Linked DNA regions of Caenorhabditis elegans. The protein of the gene in region 2 interacts with the protein of the main gene of each other region in a pairwise test. Each region holds a gene or a part of one and is shown on either strand. Other genes may lie near its edges.

Region 1 (5,012 bases), on a different chromosome or scaffold from region 2:
TTCGAGTAAGAATGCGAATTTAAGTTTTTTTGTGAGGGTGATTTTCAGCCAAATTTAGCCGTTTTTTCAGGAGATTTCGCTCCACCAATTTCGATAAAAATACACACATTGCCAACTCCACTCTATACGTGACACCTCGTTCCATCGATTCTGCTGCAACATTAACTTTTCCAAATGTATCAGCAAATGCAACACTCTGAGGATAAGTAATGTGAGTTTCAATCGATGAACATGCCGCTTTTGCAGAGATCTGAAAATATACCATTTTATATTGCTGAATATCGAAAAAAAAGAAGAAAGCTAACCAATAATTCGCCATTTTCAATTCTCGTCATCTCACATTCTCTGTATTCTATAGCATCCGGCCGGGGATCAGGGAAATATGTATCATTTTCGTAGTTGTACTCGGTGAAAAGTATGAGTTGACCGGCTTTTGCTCTGAAAATTTGGAAATTAAAACTGAGGAACAGTTCAAAACGGTATTTTGAGTGGTAAAAACCTAAAATTCGAGGTTTTCGTGTGAAAATTCGAGAAAAATCATGGGAAATTTGATAATTTTGCTCGAAAATGCTATTTTTTACATCAAATAACGCAAAAATTGGATTTCCTGGACTAAATAAACGAAAAATTCCGATTTTTCTGAAATACGCTCGAAAAATTGCTCTTTTCCAATTTAAAACATTTTTTCTGAGATCTTTTACAAAAAAATCCCGTTTTCAGCAATTTCTCACCTAAAAACTTGATTTTTTTGACGGAAAATTTAGAAATAGCCGAATATTTGAATTTAAAACCTATTTTTCTGTGAAAAAGTCTTAAAAAGCGCAAATTTCACAGAAAAATGCTTTAAAATTGGAGAAAGCTCACGAACAGCTCAAAACCACTTTTTAAGTGGTAAAAAAGAAAAAACCCCGGAAAAATCGGCGGAAACTGAGTAATTTTGCTCGAAATTGTAATTTTTAACTGAAAATCCCGATTTTTCAGTAAAAATTGCTCGTTTTCAATTTAAAACGCTCTTTTTCCGAGATTTTTCCCTTGAGACTCAAATTTTCCCGATTTCTCATGAAAAAACTTGATTTTTTAGGGAAAATTAAGAGATAGCAGAATATTTAAATTCAAAACCATTTTCTCTGTGAAAACGTCATATAAAAAACGCAAACTTCACAGAAAAATGCTTCAAAATTGGCAATTTTGGCAAAATTTCGCCAAAAAACCCCGGATATTCGAGTTTTCCAGTTTTTTACTGTAAAAAATGATTTAAAACACGATTTTTCGATTAGAAATACATAAAATCTTACGGAGAGCCGACTGGAAGATGAACTTTTATTGAAGATTCCAATTGTTCAGAATAACAGATCGCAGAATTTGTCTCCTCGTTGTCAAATAGAATAATTGCGATCACTTGTGAATCGCTCATCTTTTTCGGTGATAACCTGTTAATTTCCATATTTTAAAGCGAATCTTGAGGCACTTTTCGCGAGAAAAACTGAAGTTTATGTGTGTGTGTGAAGGGGATGCGCGTGGAAAATTCAAGGCTGTGGTCGTCTGCGTCTCGAAAAAAAGAAAAATATAAATATTTTAACTCTAAATACGAAATATTCCGCTTTTTGCGCCGAAAAACGCCTTCAAAACCAAATTTTTTTGAAAATACTCGATTTTTCATCAAATTTGACGAGTTTAGGATGGTAAAATCAGTAATATACAGCATTTTTTGTTGAAAAATCAGATTTCTCATTTGAAAAATGCGTTTAAAATATTAAAAAAACATCTTTCAAGATGAGAACAATCTGAAAAGGCAAAAAAAACAAAAACAAATCATCGTGTGCAAACACTGTGACGCAAAGTCACGGACAACTACTGTAGCCCACATGAAATTTTTATTAACATTTTCAGGTCTAGAATTCAGATAAATTCACGAAAGTCTATCAAAATTACCTTAATTCTTCAAGTCTGTTTTGCTCGAAAATTTCCAGTTTCATCATGGTGTCAGATGTGTCTTTGTTTGCCAAAAATTTGAGTCGCCCGGTCACTTTGAAAAGTGGATTTCCGCTTTCTTGGTAGTTTAGGTCATTTCTGCAATTAATGATCGACTTTTTGGATGATAACCCCTGAAAACGTACACATAAATGAACGCTTTATAAACTCCTGGTCCGGTAGGTGGAGAATCCGAACAATCAACGATTCCATACCAATCCGCGTACCCCAGATCTCTGTTATAGGTGAGATAGTTCGGATTGTCACCGAAAGCTATCCAGCTCTTGTAATATACGACCTGTTCATTTGTATGAGTGGGTAGGATTACACAATCTGCCGGTTCAGGTTCTTTGATGGTTGAGGTGCTGGCATCAATTTTCATTACCCCATCTTCTGTCATCACCTCATTTTCGATGAAGGTCAGGAAAAAACCTGGCCGGGGCCTGAAAAATGATAAAAGTGCACGGCCATGTGTCGATTTACGCTGTATGTGTACTCCTCGTGGAGAACTGTTAATTTTTGCAGTAAAATTCTTGATTGTAGATCATTTCCGATAAATTGTTTTAAATTTCAGATTTAAATTGCTGATTAATATTTTATTTATCTTTTTTTTTCAATTTAAAGTGTAAGAAAAACGCGAAAAAATGGAGTACACAACGGTTCATCAATAGAGCGCGTTTAACAACCTAAAATAATTAAAATTTAAATTTTTCCCAGAAGTGGGCAACAACTTGCCTACGTTTACGAAATAAATTAATAATTTTAAAAAGTGTTTAATTTAAAAAAAATTCAAACTCGACAATTTCCACTCAAAATCTGTAAAACCTTCTCCTCGAGGAGAACACTCGCTGCGTAAATCGACACATGGCCGTGTTAGAGTTTTTTCACGGCCATTCTTCTATCTCCACTCATAAAGGTGTGTTCAACTTACTCCAATTGTTGCTGCCCTTCGATGCGAGCCCAAAAGAACTCGTGGCTCTCCCTTTTAAAACAGCCAAAGACGTCATTTTCTTGATCATGGTGCAGGATGAGTACTCGGCAGGAGGACATTATGCTGAGATATTACAAAAAATTTGAAAAAATAGCGTTAGAATGACGGGGGGACGAGAGATTCAAGCAAGTGGTGTCAGACTGTCTCGTTACAGTTTCATCTACAAAAAATGTGGGAATATTTTTCCAGAAAAGTTGTGACGTCAGCACGTTCTCATCCATGCGAAATCAGATGAGACGTCTGCGTCTCACCTCCCGCATTTTTTGAAGATCAAACCGAAATAAGACATTCTGACTGTGTGCAAAGAAAAAACAAAAAAAAACAAAAAAAAAAGATCAAAGTGTGAGAAACAGGTTACCGGCGAGAAAAACAAATTTTTAGAAATAAAAAACAACACAATTTTTGAACCCGAAACCTTCCACAAAATGCCTGCCTACATGCCTACTGGTAAACTAAAAGAAACACCGGAAATCAGGCAAAAGTGTAACCACGTATGCAAGCAGGCGTGAGGTATGGGATATTTTTGTATTTTTCTTTTTTGCGTAAGGTGAGTAGGCAGGCAGGTAGGCGTACCGGTAGGCGTGAGGTAGGCACGTAGACCTACATTCAGGCATGGTGTAGGCATCAGAACTTGCCTGTCTACCATAGAACAACCTATAAATTAGAAAAAAAAATAGGTCGCGTAGAATGTTTTTTTTTTCAAATTTTCGTAATACCTCAGACACCTGTCCAGTTATGAAAGATTATTATCTGATCTAAATATTAATTTTTGAGGCGTTAAGAAGTGCCAAACTTTCTACGAAAAAACGAAAAAAAAACCAAAAAAAAAAGCAACTTTCAAATCGAATAAAAGAGAGAGAAAAGAGAGAGAATAGAGAAATAGACAACTGGTCGTTTGCTCTGTTGTCATGATTTACGACAGATGACCTTAGGCCTGAACCTGATAATGTAATTTTTTATTGCGCTCGTTACAAGTTACCGAGCACTAAAATGGCAAAAACACCATAAATACAAAAAAATAAAGAAATCCAATACATTTTTTTTGAAATACTAATCTTATATCACACTAGGCTAATTGATCGGTTCCTCTACGATAGACACATTCTCATACCTACGTAGCCACACCACGCCTGCCTACAGTTTGTACCATGTTTTTTATAGCTTGACAGTAGGCATGTAGGCATGAAGTAGGCAGGAATTTTCTTGCCTACTTGGAAGGCTTGTTGCCACAAGTTCTGATTGAAGAAGTTACTGTAGCCAAAAAAGAGTTTTTTTTAAATCTATCTATAACTTTTAACATGAACAAACATAAATCGGCAATTTTAATTTTGAAAAAAATCGTCCAAAAACTCTTAAATCTTTAGAATTTTAAATCAACAGCTAAACGAGGGTTTTCCGGTCATTCTTCCATTATCAAAGAGAGTTTGGAATCCTATTAAAGTTACTTCTATAGGTTACAGCCTATTTTCGGGAAAATTACCAAATTTAATATTCAGCTGAATATTCAGCAATATTCAGCTGAAATGAATTCAGCAAGTAGCAAAACCTAACTTTTTGGAAACGTTGGAAATCGAATGAAAATAGATAATATTCCAAAAAATGGAGACACGGAAAAGAAGAGGAAATGGAAATAATCACGGGCAGGAAATGAATAATGCTGCAAGTCAAAAGACGGTGAGAGACGCAGAGAAATAGGTGTCCTCCCAGGAGGAGGAGGAGTTTGATATGTAATTTTTTAGGCCAAGCAATAAGAGGGGTATAGTGCAATGTTTTTCCAGTTGCTCACGGTACCTTCAAGCTGTGACCGCACGTGGTGTTAGAGTGTCTCACTTCGGCTTGATCTACGTAGATCTAAAAAAATGCGGGTGAAGAGACGCAGAGTTCTCAACTGATTTCGCAACAGCCTGACACCAAACGACGGGCAAACTGTTTTTGTTTTTTCACAAGTTTAAGCTAAAAATAAAAGTAATCTATATTCGAAACGACAAGAAACCCGGTAGATGTCGGTCCATGTTCTCACTTGTCACAAAATTCCCTAAAACTGTGGAAT
Region 2 (7,551 bases):
ATATTCAAACATTTTAAGACAGACAATTTTATTCATTATATTTTTCGCAATTTTCTGAGAAACCTTCTTAAAGGCACAAGGGTTCATTTGGATGGATCTCGCCGCGAAACAAGAGTTTATAGTTGTATTTTTCGATCTTTTCGGGGCCGTTTTTCAAAAAACAAAAACGTTGGACATGAGATATTTATAGAAACGTACTACAGGAAAATGAATAAACGGGAACTGAACGTTTTTTAGTCGGACTTTCCTAACTTTTCTCGTGGCCAGACCTTTCCGAATATATCCGTGCGCCTCTAAATACGCGTTTCAGAAAACTGCGAAATTATGAACTTTACATTTTTGTCTAGATTTACCGATTTAACCTGATCTCAGAACCTCTATATTTCTTACTTATGTTATCTCATGTATATTGTTTGATGTGAATAAATACTCAAAAAGTTTATACTTCCAAGAATTGAAGAAAAAACGGTCAGAACAATGGGCTCAGCATTTGTGTGAGAAGGGGGTTAAGAAAAGGAATAACGGTATGGAGTTTCGAAATGTCCTTTGAGAGTGAAAGGGTGAACAGAAAGCAAGTTGAGCGATGGGCAGAAACGTTGCAGCTTTTAGACGGAATTTCTGAAATTCGGATATACATTCCAAACTACTATAAGGAAAAGTATGGGATCAAAACAAATAGAAAAACGTTAGTTGGGAAAAAATGGGGGAATTCTGCATTTTTGACAGGAATCATAGATGATCGTACATAACACCACAACAGTAGAAAACGGGCATAAAACAAAAAAAATCTCGAAGTCTTGAAACATCGTTTCGGCAAAAAAGTAAAGAAATTTGTGAAATGAGTGTTTCGGTCCGTTTCTACGACAACATTTAGATAGAAACATGATTTGAAGTTCAGATAAAGACGTCTTTGATATTCGTCAAGGGTCCACCGTGGCATGTAGAGAATAACTTTATTGGATATGTGAGGATCCCGTCCTGAAATTTTAAAAATTTATTTTTTCCATTCTTTGAAAGTTTCAAACGTGGAGTATACAGTCTAGTGGGGATTGCTTTAATTGATGGAAAATGTACTGTAATGACAAAATATAATTGTGTAAAAAATTATAATCTTTAGTGCTCTAATTTTGAGATTTTTGCGTTTTCTAGATAGATTCATCGGGGATTCTAGACATTTTCTCCGATATTTAATTTGTAACACCGTTTTTCAAATTTACAGGAAAAAACTATCGATTAAGCCTATTTTTGAATTAGTCAGAAAACGCAAAAAAGCCAAAATTAGGTTTTTTTTTATTTATTTGCGCCGGAGTTGAACAATAATTGGCACATTCTTCCATTTTAGCAAAATTGAAAAAAAATTGTTTTTTAATGGAGTACTTCCAAAAAATTAAAGTTGTTTTTCTTTCATTTAAAGCTAAATCCCAACGTCTCAATTAAATTTTGGCAACTTAACGGAAATTTTATTAAAAATAATGGTACACCTAAATGATTAAAAACCCTTACAGAGGCTGTTGCGGCTCCGCTGCAAGTAACACTGAGATTTCCAGGACCATTGGATAAATATTCCTTTCCACCAAATTCAATATTATCCTTGTCATCCTCTGATTCATCGAGAGTGCAAGGAATTGCAAATGGTGGTAGTTTTGCAAACTTTTGCGGCATTAATCTCAAATCGGAACTTGGTACAACTTTTCGGAATCCACTGTCCAGAATGAACAGAAAAATGAGCTGAAAGTAAACGGATGAGAAAATCGAAACCTATACAATCTATTTATTACCTGCGTCTCTATTTTTATGATCATGGCACGACTCCATTTGAGAATAGTTGTTGAATCATTCAATTGTACTAAACACGCATGATTTGGTCTCCACATTTCAAATGGCACGCTCTTTTCATTTCGAATTTGAGACATGAAGTCTCTGAAATTAAAAATATTGAATTCTGATTAAAAGTAGAGATGTTCCAAGAGTGGATTTTCGTAGATTTTCGATGATTTTAAATACATATATGAGCCCATTCCTGAACATCATCAAAAGTCTGAGAATGTCCAGTTTTGGAGCGACTCGGAATAACTTGAAAGTAGCGAAATCAATTAATTTTAATATTTTCGATCGAAATTTCAGGGAGTCACAGTTGAGCAACGTTTTAATCAGAAAATAATGTACTTGAAGAGTAAGAGTAAAACTCACTGAATCTCTTGATTCATCTTTTCATATGGTTTTATATACTCCTCAGGACGGACTGCAAACTTTTGAACATTTTGATATCGAACAATTCCACACTTGACAAGTGCATTTGCCGGTACATTTTCAAAGATTTTATGTTCAAAAGAAGTTTGATAGAATTCAGGTGCATCGCCGACAGTTGTGATTTTTGAAATCTTGAGCACTTCTGAAAATTAATTTCTTTAGATATTTGCATATACGGGAACACTGAATTCTGAAAATGCGTATCGCGCAAAATATCTCGTAGCGTAAACTACAGTAATCCTTCAGGTGATTACTGAAGCGCTGGTCCGATTTTGTATTGTTTTTATCATTTATTGATGAAACATTTTAAAACAGCCTCCAGTTGACAAAAAACTACAAACATTACAGGAGAATAAAATTTCGCTGTCACAATTCGAAAAGATACCGTATTTTCTCTATTAGTCTTGAACCCCAGTTTTATCCTGGCCAGCTATACTATGAGGAAACTTCAAAAATTTTTTATTTTTAGATAAATTGAACTTGAAAGTGATTAAATAACTTATGAAATATTGAAAAGGAATGCTTATTCATGGCTTAAACGGTATAAAGTTAAGTTTTCAGCAAAACTTGGTAACTTTTCCAAAGTTATTGGGCTTTCGAAAATTAGTCTTGCAGCCTCTAATAGTCCTGCACCCCTACGGGTTGATTGAAAATTAGTCTTGCATGCAAGACTAATAGAGGAAATACGGTATTCACTTTCGAACATGTAAATCGACATCCGTGCTACAGTAGTAATTTTTAATAATTACTGTAGTTTTCGCTACGAGATATTTTGCGCGTCAGATACACTGTGCAATACGCATTCGCAGAATTTAATGTTTTCGTAATAATAAAATTGAATTACCAGTCTTACTCCCCGACGCATAACGATATTCTCCTTCGAATGTGATGAATAATACATATGTCAGTTTTTCACAAGTACGTTCCATTCTGACTCCAGTAGCATTCGACAATCTTTCAGCTTCATCAGTGACTCTAAATCGAGCCTTATCCAACATTTTGACGTAATCAACAACATAATAATGAAGGTCATCTTCCATATATTCATGAATTGGTGAATCTGTGGTAACTGCTGCCTCGTTCCAAGTCAGGTCGCCCTGAAATATATTTATATTGGAAAATCATATTAATTTCCAAAAGTTTCCAGAGTTTTCATTAATAGTAACGCTTAATGTAAATCTTTTAAAAAATGTTGAGCTATTTCTCGGAAAATCTTATTTTTGTCGAATTTTTGGAAAAACGTAAAATTTATAAACAGACGCCCTAAGCCCTATACAAAAAGCCCTACACATTTTATTATTTTCGTACGAAAAAAATTTTTTTAAGCAATTTTTCCACTTTACGCTAATTTTCGTTCGGATCTTAATCAAGTTTTTTAGAATTTCATGCTAGCCGTTGAAAAACTTACGGTTTCAGTGTCAATAGTCAAAGCGGAAAGCAATTTAGGCATTATTTTCTTGAGATCCTTCAAGAAGTCTTCCTTCTCCTTACCGTTCTTTCCAGGTATTCTACAAGAAATTTATTATTATCTGTTGATTTCAAAAAAATCTTACAAAATTTTGTTCTTCCTTTCTATTTCGTCGAATAAATTTTCCAGTGACAATTTTTCGCCTTCGTTTAGTTTTTTCATGATCTTCCGAACGGCCTTTGCAATCTTCTTTGATAAAACATCACTAGAGGCTACTGATTCCAATGGTTGTGGTTGTACATTGATAGACGACGAATTGAATCTCCGAGCAAGATCAGCAAGATCAGGTGATGAAGCATCTGGACGAGAACGTCGTTCTGTATTTGATTCTGCATTTGTGTCACTGGAGAATTGTGAGTAATCGGAAATATTCGATCCACGAGAAGACGGTCTTCCTGGTTGCTCATTGCGGCGTGGCGAAGAGTAACGAGTCGAATCTGGAAAATTAAAATAAAAAGTGTGCGCCTTTAAATAGTATCGTAATTTTAGACTTCCATTTCTGCGGATTTTTCAATTTTTCATAAATTTTTTGACATGAACAAAATGTTTGAAGACTTTTATGATTTTCAGTAAAATACACTTTTAAAAATATTTTAAGAAGATATGAAAACATTATAAATAAAACTGAAATCATTTTTCGGTTAACAATTTAATAAATAAATATCCAACCTCTATCACCATTATATCCATCACGAGAGTCTGGACGTCCTCTTATGTCTCCATAATTGTTTCCGCGTCGTGGAGAAGGGTCTCTATATGGTGTCCTCATGATCATCTTCTCATGATGATCTTCTCGTCGAGGTGGTTGGTTTGAGCTGATAAATTGTGAAATTTATCGAATAAGAAGAGTTTTGAAACGCTCAGTCAATTTTCAGAAGAACGGACACTACGTGAATTTTTTAGATAATTTTTGAACACCTCTGAAGGGGTACAGATTTAATTTATATATATTTTTATTTTTTTGAAATATATATCCTTATTAAGGGGTCAGTTCGCCAGTTTTCAAGAATTTTTCGTTTTTTTCAAGAATTTTTTTGCCAAAAACGCGAAAAATACGGAAATCCGTTTGGAAAAATTAATTTCTCTGCGTTAGGAAAAAATACAAAAAGGTAGAAAACGCCTGGAAAATAACAGATTTTCAAAATAAAATTCTGAAGAAAACAGCACCGCGGCTTTGCAAAATTCTCTGATCGCTAGTTCTGGAGCCGCCACAGTAAAAAAGCTTACAATCTGCTATTCGAGCCGTTGTTCGACGCCAGCACGTTTCTGGAAACAGGATAATGAAGGCCTGTCATTTTCGAATAATCATTTGATGGATTAGGTTGTGAAATATTCAGATTTGGACGGAATGATGATCCATGATTGCCTGCTGGTGGACGATGATGACCACGGTGAGCCGGTGCACCTAAAAAAGTTCATTATTTCAAATAGATTAAGAATAATTATTCCGAAAATAATTGCAAAAAACCGTTAAGGATAATGCTAACTTTGTCTAAATCCATGCGTTTGATTGTGATTTCTTGGAATTCCACCACTACGTGCTCGATTGAAACTTGGAAGATTTGATCCACCTCTCGCCGAACGTTTTCCACCTTTTCCCGATTTCTTATCACTAATCGATTCGGCTAACTGTTGGAAAGCATGATTGTTTTGATTAAGTCTCCAATTTCTATTTCCACAATTTATGAACTTATCGGGATGACGTAAGAGCAAATCACTGAGACTCAATCTCAATCCTTGCAGTTCTTCGTTTGTTTGACCTTTTCCTTCGATTTGGCTGAAAATTCCAAATTTCCTTTCTGCAGAAAAGATTCAATAACTTTGGTATTATCCAGATGCGGAAATTTTGTGATTTTCGTCTTAAAAATACGGACCGAGGTCTCGACACGATTGCTTTTCATTATGCAAAAGAGCAGTATTGACGTTATCAACAGGGATATCCTGTTTTGTTCTTTCTGACAGAAAAACAAAAATAAAATTGGCCCAAGTTCAGAAGCGATAAATTTTTAAAAAATTATTTTTTGTTCCAAAGTTTTGAATCCAAAAAAACTTTTATTTGAGTGACAGCCGCACACTCTTTTGTAATTAGAAAATATTTGAATAAAATCGATCGCGTCGGGACAGGTAATCGTATTTTTAGAGCACATTTTTCAAAATATTTTGCATCGGAATAATTTAAAAAAAATAAAATCATACTCGACAAGAGGGCAGATTTCGCTCTCATGTACCATCTTTCCCATGGCCTTAGCCATGAGACCTCCAAAAACAGAATCCGCCAGCTCTTTTTCATTCATGTCGAGTTAGAAACCTGCTGAAAAAGTGTCCTTTGGAAACATTAATGAAAAAAAAATATATAATGAATCTGTTGCAAACAGTTCTTAGACAAACAAAAAATTATGAATTAAACAAGCAATATATATATTTCATTGGGTTTGAACACAAAATGAGATCAATAGATAATAAGAGCCAAAATGCCGCATAAATAACACGCAATGAATGATTTTTGTGTCTGTCCTGTCAGTTGTAAATTGGCGAAGACGAAACGCGAATCACTGTGAAGTATCAAATTCTGAGTGGTAAAATATCAAAAATTTGAATAAAATTAAAAAGTAAAAAGATAAACTAGACGAAGCGATAAAATTGAAAAATATGTCAACAAGCGTTATAGGATCACAATTAAAATATCAATTTTTCTGAAATTCCAGCGACTGCCTGTTTCAGTACATTATCATTTTCATCCTGCCAATTTGTTGTAGCAAGAACCTCTAATACTTCATCATCTGATTCCTCGGCACAGCAAAGATGCTCGTAGAGTCTCTCGGCGGCAGATTTACGAAGAACTGGTTGTTGGCTGTTAAGAGTGTCAAGGATCTGAAAAAAGAAATTATGGGTTATAGTTCGACAAAAACCTCGACTTCTGTCACATACCATAGTTAATGCAGATCTGTATACTGTACTTTTCTTCCCACAATTCAACAATTCTCCAAGTGAATCAATCGATAGCCTCTGACGTGACATCATTGATGATCTAACTGCGATTGTTTTCATTGTATCCACCATCTCAATAATTGATTCAGACGTTTCTGGACATTGTTCATAAATTCCAAGATTTCCAAATATTTGTGGTAGAATTTGCATGAAACTGTTCCCAATTCGGTTCACTTTACGAGCTCGTTGAAAAAGATCAGCACATGTCGATAGAAAATGATCGAATCTCTGAATTAATACGAATAGAGTTAACTAAATTATCATTAAAAATTGTTTAGACAAAATTTGAGATAACTCAGAAAAAACTCTGCCAATGTGAATAAAAACAAACGAGTTTCTAAAATCACATAAAATTTTGTTGCATCTTTGAAATGTTAGAGATTTATTTATTTTCACAAAAACTCACCGGTTTATTCTCACAAATTTCTCTTTGATGATCTAAAAGCAATTGCTTTGCAGTTTTCTGAGTTCCTTCTGCCAATCCACCTGCTGATACAACAATACCCAATATTAATTGTTCATAATACTCGGATCCAAGATCTAAAAGAGGTTTCAACTGAAAAACAGTTCGATCGGATATAAAATCCATTGGCTCTGAATAAATGTTCATGAGAAGATCAATATGTGGAAGACAGCGACCCGTTATTTCGCATTTGACGAGCGATTTCAGGCAGGCACAGGCACACTGAAAATGAGCAAATTTTGTGGATATTCTAAACTTTAAGGCAGCCGTACCTCTCTAGTTCGTGAAATTCGTTCTGCACTCTGTTGAACCATATATTTTGCAGATTTGATGACATGTTCATCTAGGAATGGTGGCTCCGTTTTCGCATCAACCAAAATTG

Evidence for each region. The genes of interacting proteins can lie anywhere in the genome.
Region 1: the proteins of rsd-6 (region 2) and rsd-2 interact in a two-hybrid assay, tested with the Caenorhabditis elegans proteins (one study listed by BioGRID).

The regions. Positions count from the first base shown.
Region 1 is NC_003282.8:13,537,245-13,542,256, forward strand, and holds the start of rsd-2 (RSD-2 domain-containing protein), read right to left. Parts: upstream 3,022-5,012; coding exon 2,903-3,021; intron 2,415-2,902; coding exon 2,118-2,414; intron 2,071-2,117; coding exon 1,933-2,070; intron 1,431-1,932; coding exon 1,296-1,430; intron 439-1,295; coding exon 306-438; intron 251-305; coding exon 108-250; intron 1-107.
Region 2 is NC_003279.8:8,357,830-8,365,380, forward strand, and holds rsd-6 (Tudor domain-containing protein), read right to left. Parts: upstream 6,030-7,551; 5' UTR 6,013-6,029; coding exon 5,915-6,012; intron 5,496-5,914; coding exon 5,206-5,495; intron 5,124-5,205; coding exon 4,946-5,123; intron 4,534-4,945; coding exon 4,388-4,533; intron 4,156-4,387; coding exon 3,804-4,155; intron 3,759-3,803; coding exon 3,659-3,758; intron 3,348-3,658; coding exon 3,095-3,347; intron 2,393-3,094; coding exon 2,191-2,392; intron 1,921-2,190; coding exon 1,779-1,920; intron 1,729-1,778; coding exon 1,504-1,728; intron 979-1,503; coding exon 895-978; 3' UTR 425-894; downstream 1-424. Other genes in the region: tbcd-1 (Tubulin-specific chaperone D), read right to left, coding at 6,395-6,589, 6,647-6,934, 7,113-7,391, 7,442-7,551.